Linked DNA regions of Macaca mulatta. The protein of the gene in region 3 interacts with the protein of the main gene of each other region in a pairwise test. Links are inferred from orthologs where the notes say so. Each region holds a gene or a part of one and is shown on either strand. Other genes may lie near its edges.

The links.
Region 1: the proteins of TNIK (region 3) and AKAP9 interact in a two-hybrid assay, tested with the Homo sapiens proteins (2 studies listed by BioGRID and IntAct). The link is inferred for Macaca mulatta from reciprocal best matches to the Homo sapiens genes TNIK and AKAP9.
Region 2: the proteins of TNIK (region 3) and CLU interact in a two-hybrid assay, tested with the Homo sapiens proteins (2 studies listed by BioGRID and IntAct). The link is inferred for Macaca mulatta from reciprocal best matches to the Homo sapiens genes TNIK and CLU.

Annotation. Positions count from the first base shown.
Region 1 is NC_133408.1:127,374,411-127,377,927, reverse strand, and holds part of AKAP9 (A-kinase anchor protein 9), read left to right. Parts: intron 1-820; coding exon 821-3,208; intron 3,209-3,517. UniProt on the Homo sapiens protein: Scaffolding protein that assembles several protein kinases and phosphatases on the centrosome and Golgi apparatus. Required to maintain the integrity of the Golgi apparatus. Required for microtubule nucleation at the cis-side of the Golgi apparatus.
Region 2 is NC_133413.1:29,347,310-29,350,826, forward strand, and holds part of CLU (clusterin precursor), read right to left. Parts: intron 1,349-3,517; coding exon 1,178-1,348; intron 160-1,177; coding exon 1-159.
Region 3 is NC_133407.1:82,747,733-82,751,249, reverse strand, and holds part of TNIK (TRAF2 and NCK-interacting protein kinase), read left to right. Parts: intron 1-3,291; coding exon 3,292-3,392; intron 3,393-3,517. UniProt on the Homo sapiens protein: Serine/threonine kinase that acts as an essential activator of the Wnt signaling pathway. Recruited to promoters of Wnt target genes and required to activate their expression. May act by phosphorylating TCF4/TCF7L2.

The DNA of each region.
Region 1 (3,517 bases), on a different chromosome or scaffold from region 3:
CTAAGTTACTGAAGCAAAACTTTGACCGAGGGCCTCTGCTTGACTTTGTCATGCTGAAGTAATCACAATAACAAATATGCCTTGGCCTGTGTCTGCGCTTAGCCTTGTCTCCGTTCCAGAATAGAATCCCAAATAAGAACTGGGGGAGAGTATCTGCTTTGCTTTCAAAATTCTGTTTAAACCAAAAGTTTAGGACCAAGTTGATATGCCATAAATGGTATAGTTGTCTTAGATGTCACTTGAGGTTCAACCTTTTAAGCATTGCATATCTCTAAATTTCTGACTGACTTAAGAGCCCAGGACTGAAGTTAAGACAGACCATTAGGAATCTGTTTTTGTTGTTTTTCTTTTCCATAGCCCTTGCCCATGACACACATTGAAGTCACCAGAATACATGTGAGGAACTTTGATTTGTTTTTATCTTTCTGAATGTGTTTAGAGTATATGCAGTACTTTAGCTATAGAGAATACTAAATATTTAGAATGTTGATCAGTTATTAAGAAAAATGAGAATATAACAGTTTGGAGACATCTAAAATCAGACTGGGTTTTTAAACTAAAACTTTTAATCACAGAAATGTTAAGAGAAATTTCTTCTAAGAAGGCCATAACTACTGTAGTGTTTGCTCACAAGTAGTGTTGGGTACACGAGTTCTAGGTCTCATTATTGTGGAAAAAATTGAGGGGCAGGACCAACATTTACTTTTTGTAGAATTTTTTAAAAAGGAAACTTCTATCAATCTTTTGGTAATGAGATGAAGCGGTATAATTTGCCAGAATCTAAAAATGCCATCTTACATTTTCATTTTTTTCCCTAAAGGAACAAGATAAAAAAGTAGAAAACTCAAATAAAGAAGAAATACAGGAAAAGGAGACAATCATTGAAGAATTAAACACAAAAATAATAGAAGAAGAAAAGAAAACTCTTGAGCTAAAGGATAAATTAACAGCTGCTGATAAATTACTAGGAGAATTACAAGAACAGGTTGTGCAAAAGAACCAAGAAATAAAAAATATGAAATTAGAGCTGACTAATTCTAAGCAAAAAGAAAGACAATCTTCTGAAGAAATAAAACAGTTAATGGGGACAGTCGAAGAACTTCAGAAGAGAAATCATAAAGACAGCCAGTTCGAAACTGATATAGTACAACGAATGGAACAAGAAACACAAAGAAAGTTAGAACAACTCCGAGCAGAGCTGGATGAGATGTATGGGCAGCAGATAGTGCAAATGAAACAAGAATTAATAAGACAACACGTGTCACAGATGGAGGAACTTAAAACACGGCATAAGGGAGAAATGGAGAATGCTTTAAGGTCATATCCAAATATTACAGTTAATGAAGATCAGATAAAGTTAATGAATGTGGCAATAAATGAACTGAATATAAAATTGCAAGATACTAACTCTCAAAAGGAAAAACTCAAGGAAGAACTAGGAGTAATTTTAGAAGAAAAGTGTGCTCTGCAGAGACAGCTTGAAGACCTTTTTGAAGAATTGAGCTTTTCAAGGGAACAAATTCAGAGAGCTAGACAGACAATAGCTGAACAAGAAAGTAAACTGAATGAAGCACAAAAGTCCCTTAGTACAGTGGAAGATTTGAAAGCTGAGATTGTTTCTGCATCTGAATCCCGAAAGGAACTAGAATTAAAACATGAAGCAGAAGTTACAAATTATAAGATAAAACTTGAAATGTTAGAAAAAGAAAAGAATGCTGTGTTAGACAGAATGGCTGAATCACAAGAAGCTGAATTAGAGAGGCTGAGAACACAGCTTCTATTTAGTCATGAAGAAGAACTTTCCAAATTGAAGGAAGATTTAGAAATTGAACATCAAATAAATATTGAAAAACTTAAAGATAATTTAGGCATTCACTATAAACAGCAGATAGATGGTTTACAGAATGAAATGAGTCAAAAGATAGAAACCATGCAGTTTGAAAAAGACAATTTGATAACTAAGCAGAATCAATTAATTTTGGAAATTTCGAAGCTAAAAGATTTACAGCAGTCTCTTGTAAATTCAAAGTCAGAAGAAATGACTCTTCAAATCAATGAACTTCAAAAAGAAATTGAAATACTCAGACAAGAAGAAAAGGAAAAGGGTACACTTGAACAAGAAGTTCAAGAATTACAACTTAAAATAGAACTATTAGAAAAACAGATGAAGGAAAAAGAGAATGATCTTCAAGAAAAATTCACACAACTTGAAGCAGAGAATAGCATTCTTAAAGATGAAAAGAAAGCTCTTGAAGACATGTTGAAAATACATACTCCGGATAACCAAGAAGAAAGATTGATTTTCATAGACTCCATTAAGTCCAAATCCAAAGACTCTGTCTGGGAAAAAGAAATAGAAATACTTACAGAGGAAAATGAGGACCTCAAACAGCAATGTATTCAGCTAAATGAAGAGATTGAAAAGCAAAGGAACACTTTTTCATTTGCGGAAAAAAACTTTGAAGTTAACTATCAAGAGTTACAAGAGGAATATGCTTGCCTTCTCAAAGTAAAAGATGATTTAGAAGACAGTAAAAATAAACAGGAATTAGAGTATAAAAGTAAGCTTAAAGCACTTAATGAAGAGCTTCATTTGCAAAGAATAAATCCAACTACAGTGAAAACGAAAAGTTCTGTCTTTGATGAAGACAAAACTTTTGTAGCAGAAACATTGGAAATGGGTGAGGTTGTTGAGAAGGATACAACAGAACTCATGGAAAAACTTGAGGTAACCAAGCGAGAGAAATTAGAGCTGTCACAGAGACTAGCTGATCTTTCTGAACAATTGAAACAGAAACATGGTGAGATTAGTTTTCTAAATGAAGAAGTTAAATCTTTAAAGCAAGAGAAAGAACAAGTTTTATTGAGATGTAGAGAGCTAGAAATCATTATTAACCACAACAGGGCAGAAAATGTACAGTCATGTGATACTCAAGTAAGCTCCTTATCAGATGGAGTTGTGACTATGACAAGCAGGGATGCTGAAGGATCAGTTTCTAAAGTAAATAAAAGTTTTGGTGAAGAATCAAAAATAATGGTGGAAGATAAAGTTTCTTTTGAAAATATGACTACTGGAAAAGAAAGTAAGCAAGAACAGTTGATTTTGGATCACTTACCATCTGTAACAAAGGAATCATCACTTAGAGCAGCTCAACCAAGTGAAAATGATAAACTTCAGAAAGAACTCAATGTACTTAAATCAGAACAGGTATGTTTACTTATTTACATATGGTAAAGCACAATGAAAATGTACGTTTCGGCCAGGCGCAGTGGCTCACGCCTGTAATCGTAGCACTTTGGGAGGCCAAGGCTGGCGGATCACAAGGTCAGGAGATCAAGACCATCCTGGCTAACATGGTGAAACCCTGTCTCTACTAAAAACACAAAAAATTAGCTGGGCATGGTGGCGGGTGCCTGTAGTCCCAGCTGCTGGGGAGACTGAGGCAGGAAAATGGCGTGAACCCAGGAGGCAGAGCTTGCAGTGAGCCAAGATCGTGCCACTGTGCTCTAGCCTGGA
Region 2 (3,517 bases), on a different chromosome or scaffold from region 3:
CTGGAAGAGCTCGTCCATGATGCTGGATGCGCGGCTGAAGCGGTCCTGCATGACATCCATCATGTGTGTCTGCTGCCGGTCGTTCTCCAGCAGGGAGTCTATGCGGTCGCCGTTTATCCAGAAGTAGAAGGGTGAGCTCTGGTTCAGGAACTCCTCGAGCTGGGACAGCCAGCATGGGCACAATTAGGAGAAGCTCACCAAGGCCATGGCCTTCTGGCCTCCCACTCCCTCGGGAGCCAGGCCAGGCCCTGCCCATGGCTGTAACAGTCACACAGCAAGTGACCAACAGCCCAGCGGGACCAGCCCCCAGCACCCCAACTGTCAGGTCCACGCCCTTTCCTTTTACCTCCCTCCATGGGGGACAGTTTTGAGACACCTGGGAGGCCATAAGAGTCACAAGGCCCAACATTTCAGGTTCATCCACGGTCATCTTTGGCCACCAATGATATCCACCCCCTGCTCAGCTAAGGGCCAACTGATGTGACTTCAGGGACTGGAGCAATTCACTGAGTCCCAATCAAAAAAGCCCTGCAGCAGAGGACAGGAGCAATACTAATACACTAAAAAAATCTTACATTGGCTGGGCACAGTGGCACACATCTGTAATCCCAACAATTTGGGAGGCTGAGGTAGGAGGATTACTTGAGCTTAGGAGTTTGAGACCAGCCGGGGCAACTTGGCCAAACCCCATGTTTACAAAAAAAATACAAAACTTAGCTGGGTATGGTGGTGTGTGCCTCTGGTCCCAGCTACTTAGGAGGCTGAGGTGGGAGGATCACCTGAACCCAGGAGGTCAAAGCTGCAGTGAAACATGATCACACCACTGCACCCCAGCCTGGGTGACAGAGTGAGACCCTGTCTCAAAAAAAAAAAAAAAATTCTTAAATCCTTCCACATAAGTGGACACAGGGCTCTGCCATCCCACAAAGTGGTTATGTCATCCAGCTAAGCACTGCTGCATGAGTTTTCTAAGAGAAGGTAGATACCTGGCCTACATCCTTTTGATGACTCCACTCTCACTACTCATGCCAGACATCACCAATGGAGCATGGCACTCTGGGACCCAATGCAGCCAGCCAATACTAATCAATTGCATCTGGCATGTGGAATGAAGCATATTTCACTAGGCTCCCGTCCTTCCCCACTCAGCCTTGGCCACTGATGTGTCCCTTTTCACCTGGCGGCCAACCAGGCCCGAGCCACTTCTGCAGACGCGTGCGTAGAACTTCATGCAGGTCTGTTTCAGGCAGGGCTTACACTCTTCCCAGAGGGCCATCATGGTCTCATTGCACACTCCTGGGAACTCCTTCAGCTTTGTCTCTGATTCCCTGGTCTCATTTAGGGCATCCTACAGGAAGACACGAGGCTGGCTGAGCCACACAGAGACCACAGGCTCACACACTCAAGGAGGTGCTGGGTGCCAGGCCCTCTGCCCAGGGCAGGCCTTCCCACAGGATGGCCACCCAGCATGCAAGTGTGCACCCCTGCTCCAGTTCAGGCTTCCCTTCATTCACCCACCTGGAATCCCCTTCCCACCGGCTTGAAGAATCCACTCACCCTTTAAGATCCAACTGTTCCCTAACTCCTAGAAGCTTCCCAGCTCCTGGAACCCATGTGGACAGCACCTCTCTCCGATTTAGTGCGCTGATCATCTACTCAGTGACTACCCTCTCACTGAAGCCTCATTTTCTATTCTCTGCTTCTGGTATTTAAATTTCATCTTCCAAAGCAGGCTGCAGACTCCCTGAATCTTATCTTTCTATTGCAACCATGCCCCCTGGCATGCAAAGGGAATGGCAGGCTTTCAACACCAAAGCCACACCAGCTGTCAAAATTCTCTAATGGGTCCTTGCCATTTGACCCAATAATTCTCTAAGAATCTATCTCAGGCCAGGTGCAGCGGCTCACACCTGTAATCCCAGCACTTTGGGAGGCCAAGGCGGGCATATTACTTGAGGTCAGAAGTTCGAGACCAGCCTGGCCAACATGGTGAAACCCCGTCTCTACTAAAAATACAAAAATTAGCTGGTGTGGTGGTGCGCACCTGCACTCCCAGCTACTTGGGATGCTGAGGCAGGAGAATCGCTTGAACCCGCAAGGCGGAGGTTGCAGTGAACCGAGATCAAACCACTACACTCCAGCCTGGGTGACAGAGCGAGACTCTGTCTCAAAAAACAAAACAAAACAAAACAAAGACTCTATCTCAAAGGAATCCCCTGACAAAGAAAAAGATGCTTAAAAATATTCGGTACAGTATTAACTTATGGCAAAAAAAATAAAATCAGAATCAACCCAGATGCTTAAAAGAGACAGGTTAAACAAACTGTGGTTCCTACAAAGAGTAAATGGTACATCATTACAAAGGATGTTTATAGTCCATTTTGAATATTATCATATGTACTGTTTATGTGAAAAATTCATAATTTTGTGCATAGCCACTGTCAAAAAAGCACAGAGGAAAAGAATAGGAAGAAATAGATCAAATGTTAACAGTGACTTGTCCTTGGGCAAAAGGATTATGGAAAAACTTTTCCTCTTCTACTTTTCTATATTAAAGTCTCTATAAATAAGTGTGTTAGTCTTCAAAAAAAAATTAGCCTATCCACACCCCAGAGTTACGTGAGGTCTTTGTCCTGCTCCATCATCCCCTGTTCCCTGCTGGGCAAAGACAGCCCACCTCCCTCTGAGCCAAGACACAAGTGCCACCCATGCTGCCTACTTCCTTTCCTTCTGGCTCACCTACTCCTCAACTAAGAAGTAGCTCTTAGTTGTAGCTCTTTGAGACACGCTCTTTTCTCCAAATGTGATGTGCTTTATTATAAAACCAGAATTGTTGAAGGTCAAACTCCAGTGATAACCACAAAAGTGTGAGCATGAGACATGCTCCTTCCCCAGGAGCTATTTGAGGATTCTCACAGAATGGTGAGAACTGGCCTGTTAATCCCAGCACTGTGGGAGGCCAAGGCAGGCAGACCAAGAGGCCAAAGTTAAGAGTTCGAGACCAGCCTGGCCAATATGGTGAAACCCCACCTCTACTAAAAACACAAAAAATTAGCTGGGTGTGGTGGCGCGTGCCTGTAATCCCAGCTACTCAGGAGGCTGAGGCGGGGAATCACTTGAACCCTGGAGGTGGAGGTTGCAGTGAGCTGAGATTGTGCCATTGCACTCCAGCCTGGGCAACAGAGCAAGACTCCATCTCAAAAAAAAGAAAAAAAAAAAAAAAAGAACGGTGAGAACTGATACTGAGGCCAAGAAAGGGCATGAAGCTTGAAAAAAAGGTAGAGCTGCATCCAGGCCAGCATTCCCTGAAGTGGCTTCCATGGAGCTGTGCTCAAAGCAGCCAGAAAAAAAAAAAAAAAAATGAATTCCCTGGTCAATTTGGAAAACTCTGGGTTTCATGGAGTTACACAGGTTTCTTTACTGCACAACATCTCAGAGCCTTTGAAATGCTTTTAACATGCATGATGGATCATGAAGCTGGCAGGTAGCTACATCTTAGCATCTGAAGTAGGGCGAC
Region 3 (3,517 bases):
ATTTCTTTAAAAATATGAACCTATTTATTTCTTCTTTCACCCTGAAAATAAGCAAAATCTGAAGGGATTTTTTTTCTTTTCTTTTTAAAATGTATTTTAGGTCCAGGGGGTACATATGCAGGTTTGTTTCATGGGTAGTTTGCATAATGGTGAGGCTCAGGCTTCCAGTGAACTCATCATCCAAATTGCGAACATTATACCCAACAGGTAAATTTTCAGCCCTTAACCTGCCACTCCCCTTTTAAGAGTCCTCAGTGTCTATTATTTCCAGCTTTGTTTCCACGTGCACCCCATTTTTAGCTCCCACTTATAAGTGAGAACATGTGTTATTTGACTTTCTGTTTCTGGGTTATTTTACTCTAGGAGATTGGCCTAGCTCCATCCATGTTGCTGCCAAGGGCACAATTTCATTTTTTTTATGGCTGCGTAGTATTCCATGCTGTATATATAACACAGTTTCTTTATCTAATCAAACATTAACGGACAACTTAGATTGATACCATGACCTTGCTGTTGTGAACAGTGCTGCAATAAACATACAAATGCAGGTGCCCTTTTGATTAAAAAAAAAAAAAGAAAAGAAAAAGTTATTTTCCTTTAGGATTTACCCAGAAGTGGAGCTGCTAGGTAGAATGGTAGTTCTATTTTTAGTTCTTTGAGAAATTTCCATACTGTTTCCCAAAGAGATTGAACTAACTTACATTCCTACCAACAGTGTATAAGCATTCCCTTCTCTCTGCAGCCTCACCACCATCTGTTACTTTTTCTGACCTTTTAGTAATAGCCATTCTGACTGGTGTGAGTTGGTATCTCATTGTGGTTTTGATTTGCATTTCTCTGATGTTTAGTGATATTGAGCATTTGTTCATCTGTTGGTTGACTGCCTCTTTTGAGAAATGTGTGTTCATGTCCTTTGCCCCCTTTTTAATAGGATTGATTTTTTCTTGTTGAATTGTTTGCATTCCTTGTAGAATCTGTTGGATGTATAGTTTGCAAATATTTTCTCCCATCATGTAGGCTGTCTGCTTACTCTGTTGATTGTTTATTTTGCCACGCAGGAGCTCATTAGCTTAATTAAGTCCCATTTGTCTGTTTTTGTTTTTGTTGCATTTGCTTTTGAGGTGTTAGTCATAAACATGTTGCCTAGGCCAATATCCAGAAGAGTTTTTCCTAGATTTTCTTATTATAGTTTTGGGTACATTTAAGTCTTTAATCCATTGTGCATTCATTTTTGTATATGGTAAGGGATAAAGTTCTAGTTTCATTCTTCTGCATATGGCTAGCCAACTTTCCCAGGGTGTCCTTTCCTCATTGTTTATGTTTGTTGACTTTGTCGAACATCAGTTTGTTGTAGGTATGTGGCTTTATTTCTGGGTTCTCTATTCTGTTCCATTGATCTATATGTCTATTTTTGTATCAGTGCCATGCTTCTTTGGTTATTACAGTCTTACAGTATAGTTTGATGTCAGGTAATGTGATGCCTCCAACTTTGTTCTTTTAGCTTAGGATTGCTTTGGCAATTTGGGCTCCTTTTTGGTTCCATATGAATTTTAGAATTGTCTTTTCTAATTCTGTAAAAAATGACATTGGCAATTTGTAGACTGCTTTTGGCAGTATAGTCACTTTAACAGTATTGATTCTTGTTATCCATGAGCATGGGATGTTTTTCCATTCATTTGTGTCATCTATGGTTCCCTCATCAGTGCTTTGTAGTTCTCCTTGTAGGGGTCTTTCACCTCCTTGGTTAAATGTATTATCCTAGGGGTGTGTGTGAGGTGTGTGTGTGTGTGTGTGTGTGTGTGTGTGTTATTATAAATGGGATTGAACTCTTGATTTGATTCTCGGCTTGAGCATTATTGATGTAACTGATTTTTGTGCATTAATTTTGTATCCTGAAACTTTACTGAACTTATCGGCTCCAGGAGTCTTTTGGAGGAATATTTAGGGTTTTCTAGGCATAAGATCCTGTCATCAGCAGAGATAATTTCACTTCCTCTTTTCCAGTTTGGATGCTTTTTGTTTTTTTCTCTTGCCTGACAGTTCTGGCTGGGACTTCCAATACTATAGGAGTGGTAAGAGTGGAAATTCTTGTCTTGTTCCAGTTCTTAGGGGGAATGCTCTTAGCTTTTTCCCATTCAGTATGATGTTGGCTGTGGGTTTGTCATACATAGCTCTTATTATTTTGAAATATGTTCCTTCAATGCCAACTGCTATGGATCTTTTCCTAGGGTTCAGGTGAAGAGATGAGCAAAAATAGTCTAATAAACACTTTATGTCATGAAAAGTTATAAAGCAAATAACTGGAAACTTAATGTCATTTAAGTATATTAAAATTTTTCCTACCTAGTTTCTTTAGGACTCAGAATATTCTGTCTGTTGAGATATTTTACAAAGAAATTGATTGCCATGTGTACCAATTGTGGATTACGAATTCTCTAAGAATTAGAATCCACACTTAATAGCAAAGATTCAGAAGGCGCTTAAAGGATTGTTCAATCTCTCAAGGTCATCACTGTAAATATTGCTTATTATATCAGAGACACACACACACAGGTAAGAGTAATGAAGAGAATGCCAGACAACAGTCCGTTCTTCCATTCATCCATTCAGTAAGCATTTACTGAGTACTACTTTGTGGAGGCAAAAGCATGTGGAGACTCAATCATTGAACTAAGTTTCTGTCCATAGAATTTACAATGCTTAATATTCCATCTGTCTAAAGAGTAAAAGGATTTGTCAGTATTCGGAGCCCTTTAAGTCATTAACAGAACCCAAGGCTCCTAACACCCCCTTTCATTAGAAGCATAAACAAGCAATTATTTCACTTAGTAACTGGAATTCAAATATAAATAATAAGCAAATGGCAGCCTTTATGTCTGCCCATTTTCTGATTTTTCTACCATCTTGCCATATCTGCTGTCAGCTACTTATGTGTGGGTGAATGTAAATGCCAGGCAAGCTAACATGAAGGAAATTATGCATTCTTATTACAATGAATATCAACATCTAGACCTAGTGTTAAAGACAGTCCTAAGCAGTTATATCTCTGGATGATGAAGAGAGTCTTCAATATAAAGCAAAGGCCATAAGTGTTCTGCCAACCAAAGTTCGCTAAGGGAAGCTAAATCAGTATCTATGACAAAAAAATCCCACACCAGGAACATCACCTTCATGAAGCTGACACCCAACATCAATATTTAAATTTACATATTGTTGCTTATACATTCATTATTAATACAAAGAACTTGAATAACCTGATGTACTTCTTAACTCATAATTTTTCTATTACAGTTAAATATGAAAGGATCAAATTTTTGGTGATTGCCTTAAAGAATGCTGTGGAAATATATGCTTGGGCTCCTAAACCATATCATAAATTCATGGCATTTAAGGTAAGCAGGCATGTGATTATCTAAAAATGTGCTTTTTAAAAATTTTCAGTTTCTACCCATTAATAAAATAGTCCATATAGACCAATACCAATTTTCATATAGATAATAAGTGTAGGTACTCTTGG